Linked DNA regions of Saccharomyces cerevisiae S288C. The gene in region 1 interacts genetically with each later gene. Each region holds a gene or a part of one and is shown on either strand. Other genes may lie near its edges.

What was found.
Region 2: mutations in DFR1 (region 1) and MSH4 together harm fitness more than expected from each alone (negative genetic interaction), as found in Saccharomyces cerevisiae (2 studies listed by BioGRID).

Annotation. Positions count from the first base shown.
Region 1 is NC_001147.6:778,962-782,314, forward strand, and holds DFR1 (dihydrofolate reductase), read left to right. Parts: upstream 1-1,944; coding exon 1,945-2,580; downstream 2,581-3,353. Other genes in the region: 60S ribosomal protein eL33 RPL33B, read right to left, coding at 426-444; IRC13 (Irc13p), read left to right, coding at 909-1,223; oxysterol-binding protein related protein HES1, read left to right, coding at 3,033-3,353. UniProt on the Saccharomyces cerevisiae protein: Key enzyme in folate metabolism. Catalyzes an essential reaction for de novo glycine and purine synthesis, and for DNA precursor synthesis.
Region 2 is NC_001138.5:133,764-138,909, reverse strand, and holds MSH4 (MutS family protein MSH4), read left to right. Parts: upstream 1-1,752; coding exon 1,753-4,389; downstream 4,390-5,146. Other genes in the region: YFL002W-B (gag protein), read right to left, coding at 1-706; VTC2 (vacuolar transporter chaperone), read right to left, coding at 4,614-5,146. UniProt on the Saccharomyces cerevisiae protein: Involved in meiotic recombination. Facilitate crossovers between homologs during meiosis.

The DNA.
Region 1 (3,353 bases):
TCATTGAGCCCATGATGGAAAGGGACGCAGTTATGTCAGAAGCGACCTCAAATGACATATATATACGCTATCTTAACATTTCTGGCACGCGCAGTTTCATGTAAAAATGCATTTCCTGGTGCCTCCTACTACTTGGTGGAATTTCATATCAGGTAGGTTATCTCCTTCTTCTTTCCCTAGAAGGTAAACTGATCATTTATAATACCTTTCTCTTTTGAATTTTTTTCCTATGAAACTTGTTCATTCTGTTCTTCTCATCGCAAAACCATGCACTATTTAATATATTCATACTCTTTAATAACAGTTGTCCAACAAGTGCGGGCCCCAACTATAACACATGTTTTATCGAATATCAATAATGTCTTCTAAGCTCGAATCAGCCTATTCCACGGCAACATTCATCATATAGTAATTTCATAACATACGTCTATGGGATTCAGCCATTTTATCTATGATTTATCTGGTTCTACTTTTGCAAAGGTTGTTTAAGCAAAGAAACTGTTTTCGGACCTTTATCTGCTATAATAATCGTTTTTTCAAAATCTGGTGCTAAGCGTAACTGGTGCAAGCCATAGGTAGCCTCACTACGGTACAGAGGTTACTTTGAAAGCAAGAACCCTTCACATGTCACACCTGCACGCAGAGGCATGGAGAGGCCAGCACAAACCACCATGGATGGGTAAAGTCATAGAAGGAAAAGCACATGGTACCCAGGCAGAGTTCCCCCCAGCAGTGACGCTCTGTTGCACTGGCCGGAAGAAGATGGTGTAAAGAGAAGCGGTCTCCAGGCAGAACAAATTCTGATTGCCCGTCTACCGGTAAAGCTTTCTCACAATATACCGTACGTTTCAAAAAAAATATTGATTCTTTTTTTATAAAAATATCAGTAGTATGTATGGGCTGATTGTATGGGTTTATACAGGCCGTCAAAATTTTTTCACCCCCCCATACCCCACATACCTTTTACTATTAACCCTGATTTTTTTTCTTTTCACATACAGCGCCTTAAGGCGAAGGCAAATCCTGAAAATTTTCTCATTTGCTTTCCCCCACCAGACATATATAAAGGCTTTGTATTCTGCTGTCAATTAGATTTAGTACATCTTTTCTCTTATGTTTTCTTCTTGTTTCTACTTAAAATCTGTGTCGACGTACTTCAGTATGTAATATACCCCAAACATTTTACCCACAAAAAACCAGGATTTGAAAACTATAGCATCTAAAAGTCTTAGGTACTAGAGTTTTCATTTCGGAGCAGGCTTTTTGAAAAATTTAATTCAACCATTGCAGCAGCTTTTGACTAACACATTCTACAGTAGGATCATTTCTATAGGAATCGTCACTCTTTGACTCTTCAAAAGAGCCACTGAATCCAACTTGGTTGATGAGTCCCATAACCTTTGTACCCCAGAGTGAGAAACCGAAATTGAATCTAAATTAGCTTGGTCCGCAATCCTTAGCGGTTCGGCCATCTATAATTTTGAATAAAAATTTTGCTTTGCCGTTGCATTTGTAGTTTTTTCCTTTGGAAGTAATTACAATATTTTATGGCGCGATGATCTTGACCCATCCTATGTACTTCTTTTTTGAAGGGATAGGGCTCTATGGGTGGGTACAAATGGCAGTCTGACAAGTTAACCACTTTTTTCCTTTTCTAAATTGTTTAAAACCAAAGGTTTGGTTTTCAGTTAAGAAATTGGATTAGTTGGTGTGTAAGTATAATTAAATGTAGTCTTGGTTAGCTTAATGTATAGGTTCTTGATAGTATGACTCCACCTAAAATTCGTCAAGAGCGACGGATGCGAAAACAAAAAAATCGCTTTGCATCCTTACGTGCGTGAGATGGCATCGCTGGCCAAAGGGAAACGTTTCATTATTTTCTGTAGTTAACATTATGCTTTGCATGATAATAAGAGAAATTGAAGAGCGCAACGAACTACGAGCATGGCTGGAGGAAAGATTCCTATTGTAGGAATTGTGGCATGTTTACAGCCGGAGATGGGGATAGGATTTCGTGGAGGTCTACCATGGAGGTTGCCCAGTGAAATGAAGTATTTCAGACAGGTCACTTCATTGACGAAAGATCCAAACAAAAAAAATGCTTTGATAATGGGAAGGAAGACATGGGAATCCATACCGCCCAAGTTTCGCCCACTGCCCAATAGAATGAATGTCATTATATCGAGAAGCTTCAAGGACGATTTTGTCCACGATAAAGAGAGATCAATAGTCCAAAGTAATTCATTGGCAAACGCAATAATGAACCTAGAAAGCAATTTTAAGGAGCATCTGGAAAGAATCTACGTGATTGGGGGTGGCGAAGTTTATAGTCAAATCTTCTCCATTACAGATCATTGGCTCATCACGAAAATAAATCCATTAGATAAAAACGCAACTCCTGCAATGGACACTTTCCTTGATGCGAAGAAATTGGAAGAAGTATTTAGCGAGCAAGATCCGGCCCAGCTGAAAGAATTTCTTCCCCCTAAAGTAGAGTTGCCCGAAACAGACTGTGATCAACGCTACTCGCTGGAAGAAAAAGGTTATTGCTTCGAATTCACTCTATACAATCGTAAATGAAACCTCTCCGCCCGTATATTTTTTTTAATATGTTAAATAGTGATAGAACTGATAAGCCTCATTTTCTTTTATTGGGCTCCAAGACGCGAACTGTTCGTAGGGTAACCGTTTGACACCTAAACGACCTTTCAGCCTCACCTGCAGTATTTCTTCAACAACGCCTGTCGCTATGTTAAATAATAGCAATCGTTTGTGATCACCATTGTCGAATTTGACGCGCTTAAACAAAAACCATTGTTTTGGCCTCGTTCCCTGCATTCAACAAAAGAGCAAGGTATGCCGTCAAACAGTCGTTAAAAGAGAAGGTTTATAAACTATCTTGTTTTGTACTTTGCTGTCCCGGATCCAGTTGGGTCTTCTTTTCAACCTGTCTGAGTCCGATCTTTCTTTCCCTACTTGAAGCTCCATATATCTAAGTCATCTAAGTGTATCCTGCTAGATTACAAACGAAAATGTCTCAACACGCAAGCTCATCTTCTTGGACTTCTTTTTTGAAATCGATAAGTTCGTTCAACGGAGATCTATCGTCTTTGTCTGCACCACCGTTTATTCTTTCTCCCACTTCCTTAACAGAGTTTTCTCAGTATTGGGCTGAACATCCAGCTTTATTTCTGGAGCCTTCGTTGATTGATGGTGAAAACTACAAAGATCACTGTCCCTTTGACCCAAATGTGGAATCAAAGGAAGTGGCGCAGATGTTGGCGGTTGTTAGGTGGTTTATTTCTACTTTGAGATCTCAATACTGCTCTAGAAGCGAATCGATGGGTTCTGAA
Region 2 (5,146 bases), on another chromosome or scaffold:
TTTGTTTTACCCATGTTGGCAATAAATGAAATGGGGCAAATGCTTGGAAGGTATTGTATATATACGCATGTTCTTCATAAGTCATTTGACTTTTGATTTCACCCTGGTCATTTGGAATGATGTCACCGAGATTAGAGTTCTTCAAAAATCTGATGTAAAATTTAACCCATGTAGAAAAGTTTTCTTCTGATGTTAAAGTGTGTGGTGGTAAGACGTTATTTCTCACCTTTGTCTCAGCTTGAGGTACTTCAGAGTGTTGATTCTGTGAATCGATTGGATCAGGTGAGGAAGTACTCAGTGGTGGGATATACTGTGGCAACGGATAGTGTGGGTCCGGTTGATAATACGCAGGTGACGTTTGATAATGTGAACACGTCATCATAGACGGTTGTTGGTAATGTGCCCAGTTAGAGGCCATAGCTTTGTTTGGGGTCATCATGCCGTGCTGTTGGTACTGTCCATTCTGTGGAGGTGGTACTGAAGCAGGTTGAGGAGAGACATGATGATGGTTCTCTGGAACAGCTGATGTCCCAGGTGTTGTCTCTTGTTGAGAATTAACCTTAGTGGAATCTCTATCAAATTCCGGTAAATTGGAAGCTGAAACGGCTAACGGATCTTGATTTGATGGGACTTCCTTAGAAGTAACCGAAGCATAGGCGCTACCATGTAGAGAATGTGGATTTTGATGTAATTGTTGGGATTCCATTTTTGATAAGGCAATAATATTAGGTATGTAGATATACTAGAAGTTCTCCTCGAGGATTTAGGAATCCATAAAAGGGAATCTGCAATTCTACACAATTCTATAAATATTATTATCATCATTTTATATGTTAATATTCATTGATCCTATTACATTATCAATCCTTGCGTTTCAGCTTCCACTAATTTAGATGACTATTTCTCATCATTTGCGTCATCTTCTAACACCGTATATGATAATATACTAGTAACGTAAATACTAGTTAGTAGATGATAGTTGATTTTTATTCCAACATATACAGAATATGCTAGAAGTTCTCCTCGAGGATTTAGGAATTCTCAAAATGGAATCCATATTTCTACATACTAATGTTAGACTATTCCGTTTTATATGTTTCATTATCCTATTACATTATCAATCCTTGCATTTCAGCTTCTTCTAACTTCGATGACAGCTTCTCATAACTTATGTCATCATCTAACACTGTATATGATAATATATTGAATAACTATTAGTTGATAGATGATAGTGGATTTTTATTCCAGAGGTTTGCGATGCCTTTGAGAAATCAGGATTGTTTTGGTATGGGATGACATTGTTTTACGTAGTCTATTCCGTTTTAAGAGTTGCAGAACTCAAAAGTGACTGACTCCATGGCCAAGTTGGTTAAGGCGTGCGACTGTTAATCGCAAGATCGTGAGTTCAACCCTCACTGGGGTCGTTTTTTTATTCAAAATCAGTTTCTAAGATTTAGATTTTATTGTATCATATCTTTTTCCATACTGAAATCGATTAAAGTTTTTATGTGTTGCATCTGTATGAGAGCAAAATCTTATTTAGTCTCCTCTTTTCTGCTATGAACCAGTTTATTATTTTTTTTTAATTCGCGTCTTCATTTCCTTTTCAAATCCCGAACGTACAGCTTTCATACATATAAGGCATCAACGAAGAATAGCAAAAGAGCAGTTGGATTTTACTTAAAGTGAAACATATAAAAATAACTAGTTATAGCATTGAAATCTGTAGCTGATCAACGCAAACTATATGCAATGAGTGAATCTAATCTATCTAGTTTTATCAGTACAAATTATTTCAATTTAAGGTCGGCGGCTAATTCTTCAAACTCTATTTCGAAGCCAAGTACGAAAAAGAGTATCAGGAACCAAAAATCGCCAACTAACATAAGTAGTTGGGCTCTCAAAAAGAAAACGCTACAAATAGCAGAGACAACATGGGAAAACAATGAAAAAGATTCAACACATAGCCATTACTTAATGACTGGATCAATGGCCTCTAGGACCGCAACCTCCTTAAGTCGATACAGCACCAACGCTTCACTCCTCGGTCCTAGTATTGACTGTGTTCTTTGTTGCATATACGAAGTGCCAAGAGACATAAGTACGCGGATTGGGTTATGTATTATCAACTGTAACACGGGACAGATGTATCTTTCAGATTTCATGGATTCACAAATTTACATTCGTGTAGTTCATAAACTCCAAATTTACCAACCTACGGAAATACTGATTCCAAGCAGTTCTCTAGCTCCAACAGTATCAAAATTAGCGACAATGATAAAATTTAATGTGGCCGAGACAGTTAAAATTGAAGAGGGTTCACGAAAGTGCTTCAATAGCCAAGATGGACTGGCGGCGATTACAAAGTATTTAATGGATGATACAAAAAAGGACTTGAAAATCGAGGAGATTATAGATAAAACGTTTGCTCTTTGTGCTGCATCTGCTGCGATAAGCTACATGGAAGAGATTATATCCAAAAGCAGCCGAAATTTGAATGCGTTTCGAAAACTACGTATACAGTTTGAAGGAACAGAAAATACAATGCTGATTGATTCTAAAACCGTCAGAGGTTTAGAACTTGTAGAAAATAAATTGGATAAGAATGGCATATCACTATGGAAGTTCTTGGATACCACGTCCACTAAAATGGGACAAAGATCACTTCGGAACAGTATACTGCAGCCATTAACTGATAGGGGCAGTATCGAAATGAGACTAGAGGCCCTAGAAGAATTGAAAGCCAATGATGACCTTCTACAAAAATTAAGGCTAGAAATGAAATCATTGCCTGATCTAGATAAGTTATTTTCAAGGTTATTATGCATTAATCATTCTGCAATAAAACCTGACCAAAGAATTAATTACGTTTTGTTGCTAAAGGAAACTTTACAAAGCGTGAAGTCATTGAAAGACGCACTTAATGATCAGTTAATTCAAAGCCGTTTAATTAGCGAGACCAAAAAAATATTCAATAATGACGCAATTATGGAAATTGAAAAATTAATTAATAGTTGTATAAATGAAGACTGTGTCTGGGCATCCTCAGCTATACAACTACTTAACCAACGTTCATATGCTGTGAAAAGTGATTCCAATGGGCTTTTGGATGTTTCTAGACAAATCTACAAAGAGGTAAAAGAGGAATTTTTTCGTGAGGTAGAAGATCTTACCGCTAAAAACAAAATCAATTTAGATCATAATTACGATTCTGCACGAGGCTTTTATCTCAGAATAAAAAGACAGGAATTTACCGATGACGTCGCTACACTTCCAGACGTATTCATTTCAAGAACAATAAAAAAAAATTATATTGAATGTACAACCCTAAATATAATAAAAAAAAATGCGAGGTTGAAGGAAGTTATGGAAGAGATTTTACTTTTAAGTGAAGAGACAGTTGATGAACTGCTCGATAAAATTGCAACCCATATTTCTGAACTATTTATGATTGCAGAAGCAGTGGCTATCCTGGATTTGGTTTGTTCATTCACATATAATTTGAAAGAAAATAATTACACAATACCGATTTTTACAAACAATCTACTAATTCGAGATTCAAGACACCCACTACTTGAAAAGGTACTAAAAAATTTTGTCCCTAACACCATATCAAGTACAAAACATAGCTCCAGCTTACAAATCATAACCGGATGCAACATGAGTGGAAAATCTGTTTATTTAAAACAAGTTGCCCTTATTTGCATAATGGCCCAAATGGGATCAGGTATACCGGCACTTTATGGGTCTTTTCCTGTCTTTAAACGTCTACATGCAAGAGTCTGCAATGACAGTATGGAATTAACCTCATCAAATTTTGGTTTTGAAATGAAAGAAATGGCTTACTTTTTAGATGACATAAATACAGAAACACTGTTAATTTTAGATGAACTTGGTCGTGGTTCAAGCATCGCTGATGGGTTTTGTGTGTCTTTGGCAGTAACTGAACATTTACTTCGAACGGAGGCAACGGTATTTCTTTCTACACACTTCCAGGACATTCCTAAAATAATGTCTAAGAAGCCAGCAGTTTCCCATCTTCATATGGATGCAGTCCTTCTCAATGACAATTCTGTCAAAATGAATTATCAGTTGACCCAGAAATCTGTCGCAATAGAGAATAGTGGAATAAGGGTGGTAAAAAAAATATTCAACCCGGATATTATTGCAGAAGCGTACAATATCCATTCGCTTTTGAAAATTGCAAAAGCAAGGACTGAAAACGAAGATTCAAATGGCGTTGTTGATCAAAAGACCATAAACCAAATGAAGAGAATACACAATCTTGTAGCGATATTGAAAGAATGTGCAGGAAATGAAAAAGAGCCCTTGACTTTAGGGAAATTAAAAGAAATAAACTCCGACTTCATCGAAAATTTTGAAGAATAATTTGGCTTTTCCGCTTAGCTTAAAACTATAATCCATTATTTCTGTACAGAGTTATCAAAAACCGGAGAAAATGATGTTTATGTAAATGCATTGATATTTATGAATGATTTAAAACTTCCCCTTAAATGTGATTTCTAAAAGTAAGCAATTGTTAGCAGATGATAATTTTTTGCTACACATTACAAACATAAAAACACATGGTCTCAGTAGATAGAGTACATATTCTAATCACTGCTTGGCCCCATTAACTTGAATAGATAATTTTGAAGTGGCCTTAATACTTCTGGTATTCTTTCAGGAACTTCTAAATTCTGTATTTGCAACTCTTGACGAGACTTTGCTGCATTTCTAAACGCCATAACAAAATTAACCACTAAAGTGACAAATAAAACTATAGAAACCAAAACTGGACCAAGTGGTGCATCTAGATGTTGACCGCTTCTTTGTTGAATAATATCAACTCTTTTCATATAAATGGAATAGGACCATAAAGCACAGAATATCGTTAGACCAAAATATACGTATGCCATGTAGTTAGCCAAAGTGGGGTATTCGGCTTTCTTCACAGAATTATAAATTGAGAACGTCAAAACACTCAATAAACTGGTGACACTTAACCATCTGTTAAATGTACGTTCGTTGGCAAGCCAAACCTTTGCCTCCACGTTTACAGGACCAGCATTTTTTAACAAATTTAATGGTTTTTTCACACCAGGTGGCAATTCAATTTCTTCTTCTTCAGAATCCACCCCCATTA